Canis lupus familiaris: one gene and its partners. The protein of the gene in region 2 purifies or fractionates together with the protein of the main gene of each other region. This does not show direct contact. Links are inferred from orthologs where the notes say so. Each region holds a gene or a part of one and is shown on either strand. Other genes may lie near its edges.

What was found. The genes of interacting proteins can lie anywhere in the genome.
Region 1: the proteins of RPL11 (region 2) and SURF2 purify together in Homo sapiens (affinity purification with mass spectrometry; 3 studies listed by BioGRID and IntAct, counting the BioPlex papers as one, with this or other methods). This does not show direct contact. The link is inferred for Canis lupus familiaris from reciprocal best matches to the Homo sapiens genes RPL11 and SURF2.
Region 3: the proteins of RPL11 (region 2) and GNL2 purify together in Homo sapiens (co-immunoprecipitation; 3 studies listed by BioGRID and IntAct, with this or other methods). This does not show direct contact. The link is inferred for Canis lupus familiaris from reciprocal best matches to the Homo sapiens genes RPL11 and GNL2.

What each region holds. Positions count from the first base shown.
Region 1 is NC_049230.1:49,844,916-49,848,996, forward strand, and holds the start of SURF2 (surfeit locus protein 2), read left to right. Parts: upstream 1-1,248; 5' UTR 1,249-1,307; coding exon 1,308-1,385; intron 1,386-1,466; coding exon 1,467-1,678; intron 1,679-2,091; coding exon 2,092-2,195; intron 2,196-3,650; coding exon 3,651-3,839; intron 3,840-4,012; coding exon 4,013-4,081.
Region 2 is NC_049223.1:75,176,901-75,181,170, forward strand, and holds the start of RPL11 (60S ribosomal protein L11), read right to left. Parts: upstream 2,811-4,270; 5' UTR 2,788-2,810; coding exon 2,782-2,787; exon of another isoform or gene 2,642-2,781; intron 2,041-2,641; coding exon 1,890-2,040; intron 762-1,889; coding exon 655-761; intron 208-654; coding exon 76-207; intron 1-75.
Region 3 is NC_049236.1:4,965,278-4,969,524, reverse strand, and holds the start of GNL2 (nucleolar GTP-binding protein 2), read right to left. Parts: upstream 2,834-4,247; 5' UTR 2,695-2,833; coding exon 2,631-2,694; intron 646-2,630; coding exon 561-645; intron 1-560. UniProt on the Homo sapiens protein: GTPase that associates with pre-60S ribosomal subunits in the nucleolus and is required for their nuclear export and maturation.

The DNA of each region.
Region 1 (4,081 bases), on a different chromosome or scaffold from region 2:
ACCCGAGCAGATGGCAGCAACGGCAAAAGCTCAGAGCCTCCAGAGCTAGAAGTCAGGCTTTACCTGCCATGTCCCCAGGCCAAAGGCTGTCACAGGAATGAGAAGCAGGAACCACTGGAGGAAGGAGTCCTCTTGTGCTTCTGTGGCAGGTGCTTCAGCTGCAGAACTGCCACACCTGCTTGGCCTCCAGGCCAACCCTGGGAAGTTCAACACCACAGGCCCAGGGTCAGAAGCCCTTGACAAATAGAATGGGAGCAGCCAATCCCTCAAGGAGACGCCACCACTACTGCCAGACAGTAAACAGGCCACAGCCTGTGGCCAGCAGCCAACCAGTGACACCTGCGTCCAGCCCAGCTTCTAAACTGGGGCCACACGCTGCACACTCGGTGATGTTTACTGACTGAATAAACACGGCCTAGGGCTTAGTCCTGCTGTGCCACCAGCTGTGACCCCGGGTAACTCCTGTAACCACCTGCGCCTTTTACACAACAATTCCCTGCGCACTATGTGCACATGTATTACATTGTGCACGACATTGTGCACAACAATACATTGCACTAAGACGCACCCGCGCAGAGGCAGAACCGTGAAAACCCGGGATCGCGGCTCACGGCTCACGGCGCTCGAACACCTTCCTTTCCACTGCTCGTAAACTTAAAGCTGGAACAACGTACTCAGAAAGTATATTTTAGTTGTCGGAGCGTGAGTCTCAAGTCAGCAACACGGGCTTTGTGGACAGTTTAAAAAAAAAAAAAGGCTGCAGCGCGCTGACGAGCACCCTTCCCCCTCGCGCGGCGCCCCGCTCCCGGCTGTCGGTGCACGCGCAGCCCGCAGGCCGCGGGTCCCAGGCTCCCGGCCTTCAAACCCCATCAGGCGCTGGAAGGGGGCAGCTCCGAGCTCCCCTCAAGGCCGCGGCCCCCGGGCAGAGCGGGGGACGGGGGCGGGGACGGGGGCGGGGGCGGCTCTTCCCGGGCGCCCGGGGCACCCGCGAGCCAGTCCTCACCTGGGCGCAGGGGGACCGCAAGGACGCTCCTCCTGACCGCGCGGGGCGGGCCCTGCGGAGACCGGGACACAGGCTGAGCTCCCCAAGCCGGGACGCTGGCCCCCAGCCCGCCCGACGCGCCCGCGCCGCTCACCCGCCCCTCCGCCGCCGCCGCCGCCGCCCGCAGCCCCAGCCACCGCACGGCCGCCGCCATCGCCCGCCGGCACTTCCGGGCCGCGAGGCATCTGCTTCCGGGGCACCGCCGAGCCCCGCCCCCGGCGCACGGTCCACGCGGTGCGAGCGGCGCCCGCCTGCGGGTCTGACCATGGGCGAGCCTCCGGCCGCCGTGCGCGCCTTCCTGCGCCAGCACCCGAGTCTGCGGCTGGAGCCCGGCGCGCACAAGGTCCGCGGGCCGGGGGAGAGGCGCGGCGCCGCGCGGCCGCCCGGGCCCCCCTGACCGCCTCGCCCGCCCTCCTGCCCGCAGGTCAAGTGCGTCCTCACCGGCCACGAGCTGCCCTGCCGTCTGCCGGAGCTCGAGGTCTACACCCGCGGCAAGAAATACCGGCGGCTGGTCCGCGCCAACCCGGCCTTCGACTACGCGGAGTTCGAGCCGCACATCGTGCCCAGCACCAAGAACCCGTACGTGCGCGGGGCCGCTGCGGGCGGGCTCCGAGGGGACGTGCCCACCGTGGTGAGGTACCGACGGCAGCCGACAGCCGGGGGAGGCCGGGCCCCTCCCCGCGGCCTGTTTGCTTCTCGTGGGGCCGAGGTCTGTCCCTTCGGGTTCGGAATGGGGCCAGTTTCACATACCTAGGGAGGACTTGGGTGGAGCCGCCGCTGTTTGCGGGCAGGGGCTGACAGGAAGAGGGCGCTGGGGGCTGCTGCTTCGCGCTCGGCCGGGCCGCCGCGTCTTCCCGCATCCCTGGAGCGGGGGCGGGCCGCTGAGGCTGGCCAGGCCTGGGTTCCAGGCCAACCGCGGGAGGTCACAGCCCGGCCGGACCAGTGCTCGTCCGCCTCGGCTGCAGAGGGGACCGCCTGCTGCCCAGGCCCCATCCTAGGCCTCTGCTGTCAGGCTGGCTGAGATCCTCATGACTGTCCCTGTCCCCCAGGCACCAGCTGTTCTGCAAACTCACCCTGCGGCACATCAACAAGTCCCCAGAGCATGTGCTGAGGCACACCCAGGGCCAGCGGTACCAGAGAGCCCTGTGTGAATGTAAGTAGCCGTGGGTGGACACGGCCTGCTCTCTCCTCCAGGACAAGCGCCCTTGGAAGGCAGCAGCGGCGTCTCAGTCACCCACTGGCAGCCGCTGGTGGTGCCCTGGGCCCAGCCCTGGGGAGGCATGGGGCTGGAGGTGGGGATGAAGCAGGCGGCTGGTGACTGCTACGTGCTGTGAAGGACGGGTGCCGAGGGCTGTCTGTGGAGAGTAGAGGCAGGGATTCAGCCAAGGTCAGAAGAACGCTTGGCTGCCGCAGCTCCTGAAGGACGGCCTCCATGCCACCATGCAAGGGGAGGTCAGTCAGCAAGGGAGGTGGAGACGACCACAGGGGGTCTTGGAGGCCATGGCCTGGACCACGGGAGGTGGAGATGCATTGAAAGGACAGAAGCAGGGCTGTGGCACCACCACTGTGGGTAGGGAAGATGCGGACAGGCAGAACTGTCTGTGGCTAGAATCAGTAGGTGAGGGAATGAGGTCAGAAATCACCTGGATTCCTCAATTCCTGGCTCAAGACCGGCGGTTTGGAAAGTGGCCTCTGGATAAGAGACCCCCTGAGGAAATGAAATGTTCCTTTCAACCTGTGTCGGGGGACGGTGGCTATTGAAGTCGGGCCAGCGCTCAGAGGGTGCACATCACCGACACGGAGCGAAGGAAGAAGGGATGGGGCTGGGCCTGACCACGAAGGAGCCCAGAAGGGTGAGAAGAGCCAGGTGGAGGGGTCAGGGGCAGAAGTTTTAGGAGTGCTGGGACGACCAGGGGCTTTGGGGACAGACACAGAGACAGGATAAGGAAGAGAACTCTGAAGGCGGGGTTTCTCCCAGGAAGAAACGAGGCACAGTCTTCACCTCAGGACAGTAGTGAGGGATGCTGTGGACAGCTGAGAAGCAGGCATCCTACGCGGGTGCAGAGACTGAGGGCTGCTTGGTGTGGGCGGGAAGGAGGTCCTGGGTTTCCCCACAGGCTAGACTCATCCTATGTTGGGGTAGGTGGTTCATAGGTCCAGCGGCTGGGAGTGCAGAGAGGAGACCCGGGTGCAGAGCCCAGTGGCCACAAGGCCCTGTGGGGCAGAGGTGAGGCAGAGGATATGTCCTTGGAGGAGGGCAGAAGCAGACATCAGACCAGGGGGCCCAGTCCCCTCCCTCCTCTCTGAGGGGCCTGCATGGACAGGAGCCATGCCCACACAGGGCAGGGTTCAGAAGCCAGGCTCGTCGGTGCCACCCTGCTCCTCATCTCGGCTCAATCTGGATCTGCCACGCTGAGCTCCTGGCCTCACTGAGTCCTCTACATGGGACCTTGTGGCTCCGGCGTGAGGGCCCAGCAGCCCTCCCTGGGGCTCCTGAGGCCAGGGAAGGGCTGGGGGGTTCAGTGCTCAAGGCCCCACCCCTGCATGGCCCTACACTGGAGGACAGGGGCAGGCACAGAACCAGGCAGTGTGCTGGTCTGTCTTCCAGATGAAAAGTGTCAGAAGCAGGGTGTGGAATATGTGCCCGCCTGCCTCCTGCACAAGAGGAGGAGGAAGGAAGCCCAGATGGACGGCACTGGGCCACCTCACTCAAGAGAAGCCTTCTGGGAACCTGCATCCAGCGAGGACGATGCAGCTGCCAGTGACAGTGAGGACAGCATGACAGACCTGTACCCACGTAAGTGGGACTGCCCCCCCCACCCCACTTCCTGCAGATTTGGGTCCTGGCTGTCTGGTCTATGCCTCCGTCTGTTCCACTTCGAGTCCTGGGCCCTGGCTGGCCACCCCCTGCTCAGCCCTGTGCAGACGGTGAAGCTAAGCTGAAATTGCCCGTCCCTCCGTGCCTTCCAGCCGAGTTGTTCACCAGAAAGGACCTGGGAAGGACTGAGCCTGGCGACAGCAGCAGTGACTTTTTGACAG
Region 2 (4,270 bases):
GCACACACAAAATAAAGGAGTAGCAGATTCCACTCTTCTCACAGACCAGGAGTAGAAAAGACTAAATATTCATACCACATAGAAGTCCAGGCCGTAGATACCAATGCTTGGGTCATATTTGATCCCCAGATCGATGTGCTCCTGGATCCCAAAACCAAAGTTTCCAGTATCGGAGAAGTTATTTTTTCTTAACTCATACTCTCGCACCTAAGGAGACAAATGCAGCAATCATATCCCTCGTCAATTCAAATCCCCCCAAATTATTAGTTTAGTCCTCATCACTCAGCACCCTGAGATACAATTCGATATAATTTGATCATGAACAAAAATCTCATTTCCCCACGACACCAAATCACAACCCACGATAGGAGTTTCTAGAGCTAAAAAAAAAAAAAAGAAAAGAAGAAGCAGTTCATAGAGCTTTCCCAATATTTAAAAGGCATTGAAAAACCCAGAGAAATCATTCAAGAATAAAGTTTAAAACCTTGTTGGGTGCAGGAAACACCCTTTAGAGGTTCAAAAAAATTTCAAATTAAAAAAATATATCAAGGGACCAAAGACAGTGTACAAAGTATAACCACTGCCACTGTAATTATCTAGTTGTTAACACATAAGCTGGTGCTCTTTATTATCCCATGAGGGGATCAGCCTCACCTTTAGACCTTTCTCCAGGATTTCTTCTGCTTTGGCCCCACGGACTGTGCAGTGGACAGCAATCTTTTCATTTCTCCTGATACCAAAGGATCTAACCGTGTACCTAGCTGCAGGAGGGGAAAACAAGGAGTCAGGTATCACACTCCCACTGCACTCACCTCTTCCCTAGAACATCATCTCCACAATTCTAAGACACATTAAATATCCACCCACATCCTAAGTGCTGGCATTCCTACCAGTGTCACCTACATCTGGTTTCATCCATAGCACAGAAAACAGATTTTTCAACTTCCAAGTCATTCAATCATACTTAAGCAATTAAGAGCTCAAAGTCACATCTAAGTCTCAGGACGGGCCAAGTTCACAGCCAGAAGAGGCCACTAGAAAGGAATATGGTCACTGTATTCTAAAGAAAACAAAACATTATTGATAATTCTCTAATGTTATCCTGTTATAGATGAGGTTCTGGGAGGTTAACTTGCCCCAAATCACAGTTGGTAACAAAAGGCAGGATCTAAACCCAACAATGTGCCATACTGCATTATCCTAAAGCAAAGAAACTTAACGATGCTAATGTCCACGCTGGGCTTGGTATGTAGCAGGCACTTCATAAAATCTATTTTATTTTTCACAATCTTATTATCATCTCATTTAGGCAAATAAGGAAGCTGAGACCCAGAAAGGCTGAGGCCAGACCCGCAAATGATGGGGCCAGGATTTGAACCCAGTTGGCCTAGGCACAGAGCCCTTCTCCATGTAGCCTATAAATTCTCAGTGAGTCATTCAAGCCAAATATCACCTAGTGCATTCCTAATGTTTCTAACTTTACCCGGAAAAATCTCTACTTAGGCTGGCCCTGGCTGAAGCTCTGCTAACTTAAAGACCTGGTATTCCAAAACCAAACCCGTCTTGAAAGGAAAATACTTTGGGATCCCTGGGTAGCTCAGCAGTTTGGCGTCTGCCTTCGGCCCAGGCAGTGATCCTGGAGACCCAGGATCGAGTCCCACATCAGGTCCCTGCATGGAGCCAGCTTCTCCCTCTGCCTCTCTGTGTCTCTCATGAATAAATAAAATTAAATAAAACAAAGGAAAATACTTCTTGGGTAGCTCAGGATGGTGATGCTTTTTAAGGGGCATCAACTGTCACTTTCAAAACGGGCACTGAAGAGGCTGTATACCAGGTAAATTAGAAAAGAACATGCAGGGATGTTCTCTCCCCTGACGGCCACCACTGACCTTTGGAGAACACTGGGGTCTGGCCCGTGAGCTGCTCCAGCACCTTGGCCGCGCGGGTCAGTCTGTCTCCACTCTCCCCCACACAGATGTTGAGGCAGAGTTTGCGGATGCGAAGCTCCCGCATGGGGTTCTCCTTTTCACCTTGATCCTGCTGCAACGAGGGAAGCGCAGCAGTCAACACGCCACCCCGCCACAGCTCCGAGTCCCACATCTGTAGACACCGCCTACCTAGTTCTGCTCATCCCGGTTCCTAACGACAGCCTTACGGGCTTGCAAAGCATCGCGGTGTCTGTGCACCAGCTCGGGAGCTGGGCTCCCCCTCCGCGCCAGGAATGGACGAACAGAAACTTGGGGCAGGTAGCGGGAGTTCGAACCCCAAGGGGCTCACCCCCGTAAGGTGTCGGAGCGCGCGTCCCCGCTACAAAGCCGACGGGCAAGAAAATCGGATTTAAACGCCGCTGAGGAAACAGGAAGCGCGTGGTTGGGCGACGTCCCCCATTCCTTTCGGAAGCAGCCCGGGGGGCAGAGGGCAGGCGGCCTCCTCGAGCGGAGGGGCGGGCTGCGGCTCCCTAAGCACCCGGCAAGCCTCAAGTCCCCGGGACGGGGAACAGGTCCAGCCCCTCCGTTCGCTCCGTCGCCCTCCCCGCAGCTGACGCGCCGCGCTCCGCTCGCCCTCCCGGCGGCCGCCCCCAGCCGGCTGAGGAGCGGGAGGGGAGCGGGAGTGGAGGGGGCAGGGCTCGGCTCCGCGGCCTCGGCCCGCATGGCTCTGCCAGTTCCGCCACGGCGAGCCTTACGGGCTCCCTTCTCCGGCCGCGGACGAGGCAGCTCCCGCCTCGGATGAAGGCGGATGGAGGCGGATGAAGAGAAGCAAAGCAGGGCCTCAGCTACTCACCGCCATGGTGGAGAACAGGAAGAGAGGGCGAAGCTTCCGGCCCAGGGCCTTATGGGTCAGGAGGCGGGCTCTCTCCCCAGGCTGCCCCGCGGGCCGCGGCGGGCGGCGGGCGGCGGGCGGGCGGGCGGGTGGGCGCCGCCTGGTCCCCGGGACGCGGGTTTTCCAAAAATAGTTTTTTAAAGCTTTTCCTTGAGCTTCCGGTCTCCACGGGCGCCCTTCCCTCCCACGGTCTCCGGACCTCGTGGTTCCTGGCGTGAACCGACTTCCAGGGCCACGTGAAATCAGTCGTGCAAATCGCCAAGTAGGGGATCCCTGGGGGGCTCAGCGCCGCCTTCGGCCCGGGGCGTGACCCTGGAGACCCGGGGTCGAGTCCCGCAACCGGCTCCCTGCACGGAGCCTGCTTCTCCCTCTGCTGCCTCTCTATCATGAATAAAATAAAATCTTAAAAAAAAAAAAAAAAAAAAACTAAAAAAAAAAAAAAAGAAAATCTTAAACTTATTCGGGGACAATGTGAACATGTGGAATTTATAGTTAGAACAGAGGTGGCTGAAGAGCCCTGAGCTGTGGAGACGCAGTCGTGCTCTAGTTAACCCAATACGCGACCCCGGCCAGGTTACTAATTAGACCCTCTTTGAGCCTCAGTTTTCCTCAGCTTTAAAATGGGTACCTAGATCATAGGAGATTGTTGTGAAAGTTAAATGAAGTAATTGTGTAGAGCACGCATAAGGGGTTACGCTTTTATTTTTTTTAATTATTTATCTATTCATGAGAGACAAGAGAGAAGCAAGAGACAGGCAGAGGGAGAAGCAGGCTCCATCCCAGGATCCCCTGGATCACAACCTGAGCTGAAGGCAGACGCTGAGCCTCTGAGCCACCCAGCTGCCCAAGAAGGGATTTCTCTTAATATAAACCCACTATATCCAAGCAACCCCCTTCCCCCGCCCCCCAAAAAATGTTAGACATGGTGTATAATCAACAGTCATCCTGCACGCCCAAAGATGGGTTGCAGATTAGTCTGACAGACAAAGGCTCTGCTGGCAAACAATAAGCCAGCTCTGCTGGCTTCCCGGTTTACACTAATTCTCAGCAGCAGCACCGCAGGGAGAACCTGGCATTGAATCCACCAGTTTCTTTAACAGGAATAAATAGCCAAAGGACTTTGGTGGAAAAGGAGACAAGCCTCTCACTTCTACCATTAAACCCCCAGGTTCTCCTTGTTTCATCCAATAGGCACACATGGGACTTCTGGGAAGCTGGGCTGATAGAGAAAAGAGACACACACGCACCCAACACCCCCCAACCACACTTTTGATTTTCCTCCATCAGGCACCCACCAACTAGCCCAGAGCAGAGGCCTCAACCAAAGCTCTGGGAGGAACAGAGCCAAGGGAGGGGCTGCTCCAAAGCTTGGAATAAAGAGCTCAGACTGCTGAATGCAACAGATGACCTTGGATTTTCTTTTGCTATAAAGCATGTTTTTGGAATAATT
Region 3 (4,247 bases), on a different chromosome or scaffold from region 2:
ATTAAGTTCATTGACGTTTGTGTTTTAGACACATCTTTCAGAACGGATGAAGAATCTAATTACCAAACAAATTAAGACCAGCTAGCAAAATGCCACGCTCAGCAAGTCCCCATGGTAGAGGCTGCCTCAGCAGAACTCACAGTCGTGATGAGTTTCCAAGTGCCACAATGTTGTGATCTAAAGTTCCGCATTAAAAAACAAGTTTTCTGGCTGCTTTCATAACCACAGTCCTATATAATTTGTTAAAGAAAAACCAGATTTCTATCTGAAGGATATTTAACTTGAGATTTAATGTGCTATCCATGGAGGCTGAAGCTGTGAGGAATAAAACCTCCACTGGTCATACAGTCTTGTGACACAATCACTGTTTCACCACCCGCTGCCCACGTCTTGAACCAAAACTCCGCCATTTATCATAACACCACCCATATAAGATGATATTTGAAAACATACTACTCCTAGTTGGGGAAAGTGGCAGTGGGAATATCAAAGGTTACGAGGTCTCAGCTACAAGTCCGGGGCATGAAGGAAAGGGGAGGAGGACAATGTGTAATGCTCACCTGCGCTCCTTTTGCCTGTACATATTCAGGCGCCGGATGGTGGCCCGGTCCCTCATGTTTTGGCCCCCTGCTCCCTGCACTCGATCTAGGAAAGACAGAAGCCGACCGCAAACTATTTGATAACCAAGCTTAAGTACAGTCAGAGCCTCAAACACATCAACTAGTTCACTCAAAGTAGGCAAGCTGCGGCCTGGCTGCAAAATCTCTTTCTCTTTCCCTCTATCATTCCAACGGAATTATTATCACTGGAAGCTACGTGGTAGGACAAAGCTGACCTGATCTTTGATCCTCAGTATGACTGTCGTTTGATAAGAGTTAATAATTTTGAGCATTAACTGTGGCACTGTGCGATCCGCATTACAGGCATCACCTCGTGTAAGCCATATGATAATCCTATAACGAGATACACTATCCTCATTCTGCAGGCTAAGAAACTGAGGTACAGGTGGCCAGATCACCTTGCCCAAATCGCACAGCTACTAAGTGGCAGAGCCAGAATTTGAACAAAAGCATTACATTACCATCTGGGCTCTTACCTGTCTCAGTTGGAACAGATTGAGTGCCTGCTACAGGCAAGGCATCGTGGAGACTACAAGTTTGATACTCAAGTGTTCCTTACGTACCAGTTTCTTCATTTCTTACTGTTTTAGTTCGATAAACAGCAAAGAAAGTGGAAGTTTTTGCTTTACGGCTCAGAGAGAAAGACAAGGACAAATCAGCATTGCTAACACTAGCCCAGCTTTCCTTTTGGGGGATGACGTCAAGTCACCTGTCTACTCCTGAAGTGATAGAGTAGAAATCAGGCTGACATCCCAGCACTGGCCGCTCTGCTGCTCACGAGCTGCGCCAACCAACCAACCAACCAACCAACGGTGATTAGCGACTTCCCCAATTTTGGCTCCATCTCTTCCCCCTGTAACATCATAACCTCTAAAAGGCCTTTTCGGGGTCTAACAGTCTAAGATTCCAGTCTACGCATATCAGATAATTTATCAGCAATCCAGGAAAAACATTCGACGTGAACTAAAGTTCTCAAAAAACTTTTTTTAAAAACAAAGTTTTATTAACTAAACCCAATAGAAGGGATCCCCCCTACCCCCCACCCCCCAAACCACCTTGTTCATCCTGCACGTGGGAACTCAGTAGAACTAAACATCTCTAAAAACACCCTTATTTAGGGATGTCTGGGTGGCTCAGTGAGCATCCACCTTCAACCCAGGGCGTGACCCCGGGGTCCCGAGATCGAGTTCCCCCATCGGGCTCCCTGCACAGAGCCTGCTTCTCCCTCTGCCTCTGTGTCTGCCTCTCTCTCTGTGTCTCATGAATAAGTAAATAAAAATCTTAAAAAAAAAAAAAAAGTCTTTGGGACGCCTGGGTGGCTCAGCGGTTGAGCATCTGCTTTGGCTCAGGGTGCGATCCTGAGGTCCCAGGATGGAGTCCCACGTCGGGCTCCCTGCATGGAGCCTGCTTCTCCCTCTGCCTGTGTCTCTGCCTCTCTCTGTGTCTCTCTCGTGAATAAATAAATAAATAAAACCTTAAAAAAATAAAAAATAAGTAAAAAAATAAAAAAAATAAATCTTTACTGGAATGATCACCAGGTATCCATCTGTAGGGTTTTCTGTGCCCTTTACAGGCGGGATTTGCCTCCAAAGGCCAAATGTAGAACCCCCCACCCCCCTTTCTCATTTAAAGGGTCAAAGGCAGCCAGAGGGGCAGGGAGGTGCGCCAGCCGGGTCTGCCCTACACCAACCACCCTGTAATGGGGCTTTATCTAATTTGCTTCTAGCAATTCCCTGGGCTGGAAAGCTGCAGTCCTCCGGGGCTGAAATACACTGGGGACAGGCTGATGCCCCACACAGGACCTCGGGCAACTGGAGATGCCCCAGGGCTGCCAGGCCTGAGCGTTCACTGCCCCCGCCCCCCCTGCCCTGAGAGCCGTGCAAGAGGTCAGGGCCCCCGAAAGGAAAGCACCACCTCGTCCCGGCTCGGCCCCAGCATCCCCCGGCCCCGGCGCCCCTCCTCCCTCTCGGCCTCCTCCGAGCCCCCCTCCGGAGCCCCCGCCGCCCGTACCAGGGTTGGTGCTGGCCTTGGAGGGGTTGATGGTGCTCCGTCCTTTGTACCTGGGCTTCACCATCTTGCCGACCCGACGGGAACCGGGGCGCTAGGCCGAGGGAGCCCTGACCGGTCAACTAAGCCCGCAGCGCCGCAGGACCCGCCGAAGCGCCCCCTTCCACAACCACGCCGGACCACGTGGGCGCGGGCGACGTCACTTCCGCTCGCGTCCCGCGCGACTTCCTGCGAACGCGCGGCGCGCGCCGCCGCGCCCTTGGCCCCGCCCCGGCGGAGCCCCGCCCCCTTTAGCGGCCGTCCCGCGGAGACCCCGCCCCCTTCGCTGCCTAGCAACCGCCAAGCTGACGCCTGGGTACCAGGCCCCGCGCGAGCTCCCGGGGGCCCAGGCCCAGGCCGGCCGGCCGCACGAGCTTGTGCTCCACTGTCTTCTGAGGTTGTCCTCTAACTCTTACACAAGGCGAGGACCATACAGCAAAGTAGCAGTCGGGGCTTCTCACTTTTCTTAAAACTCCAACAGCGAAAAAAAAAAACCACCAAAAAAAATTCCTCCAACAGCACATCATCATCCTCCCTCTTAAAGAGAGATTGAAAGAAACTCACAACCCCTTACCATCCCTACAGAATTCTGCAGGGTCTGGCCCCTGCCTATTTCACCTCATTTGCACCTCCCTCCCTCCCCGGATTCTGACATTTACACTAGATCCCTCCACCTGAGTCTCTCTTCCTTGAACACTTGCGTAGCTGGTTCCTTCTGCTCTTTCCCTTCTCAGCTCGGATGTCACCTACTGGTAGGGTCGCAAGATTTCGTAAATAAAAATACATGAGACCTGGTTAAATTTGCATTTCAGATAAACATATATACGTGCTGCCGAAGCGAGCACTGCATTTCAGGTAAACGATAATTTTTAGTGCAAGTATGTTCCATGCAATATTTGGGTGGTCCTTTCACTTAAAAAAAAAAACCTAATAGTTTATCTGAAATGCAAATTTAACTGGGCATCTGGGATTTTTATCTGGCAATATTTTCTACTGGGAGAAGACTTTCCTGTCTGATCTTTCCAAATCAGTCATCTACTGCCCTTCTGCAGTTATTCTGTTTTATTTCCTTCATGGCATTTATCACTAGCTGCAATTATGTTATGTACAGGTCTATTGAGCATCTCCAAAGCTAGAATATACGTTTCTTGAGAGTAGGGGCCTTGTAAGTTTGTTCACTACTGTAACTCCACATCTTAGAATAGCACTTGACACACACAGTAAGGACTCAATAAATATTCACTGAATGAAGGAATGGATAGATGGAGTTTTTAGCTCAGTCTGTTGTAACAAAACACCATGGACCAAGTGCTTTAAACAACACACATTTTTAAAAATTTTTTAAATTTTTTATTTATTTATTAGAGAGAGAGAGAGAGACAGGCAGAGGGAGAAGCAGCCTCCACGCAGGGAGCCTGACATGGGACTCGATCCTGGGTCTCCAGGATTATGTCCTGGGCTGAAGGCAGCACTAAACTGCTAAGCCACCGGGGCTGCCCACAACACACATTTATTTGTCACAGTTCTGGAGGCTGGGAAGTCCAAAGGCAGGGTGCCCGATAGTTGCGTTTCTAGAGCTCT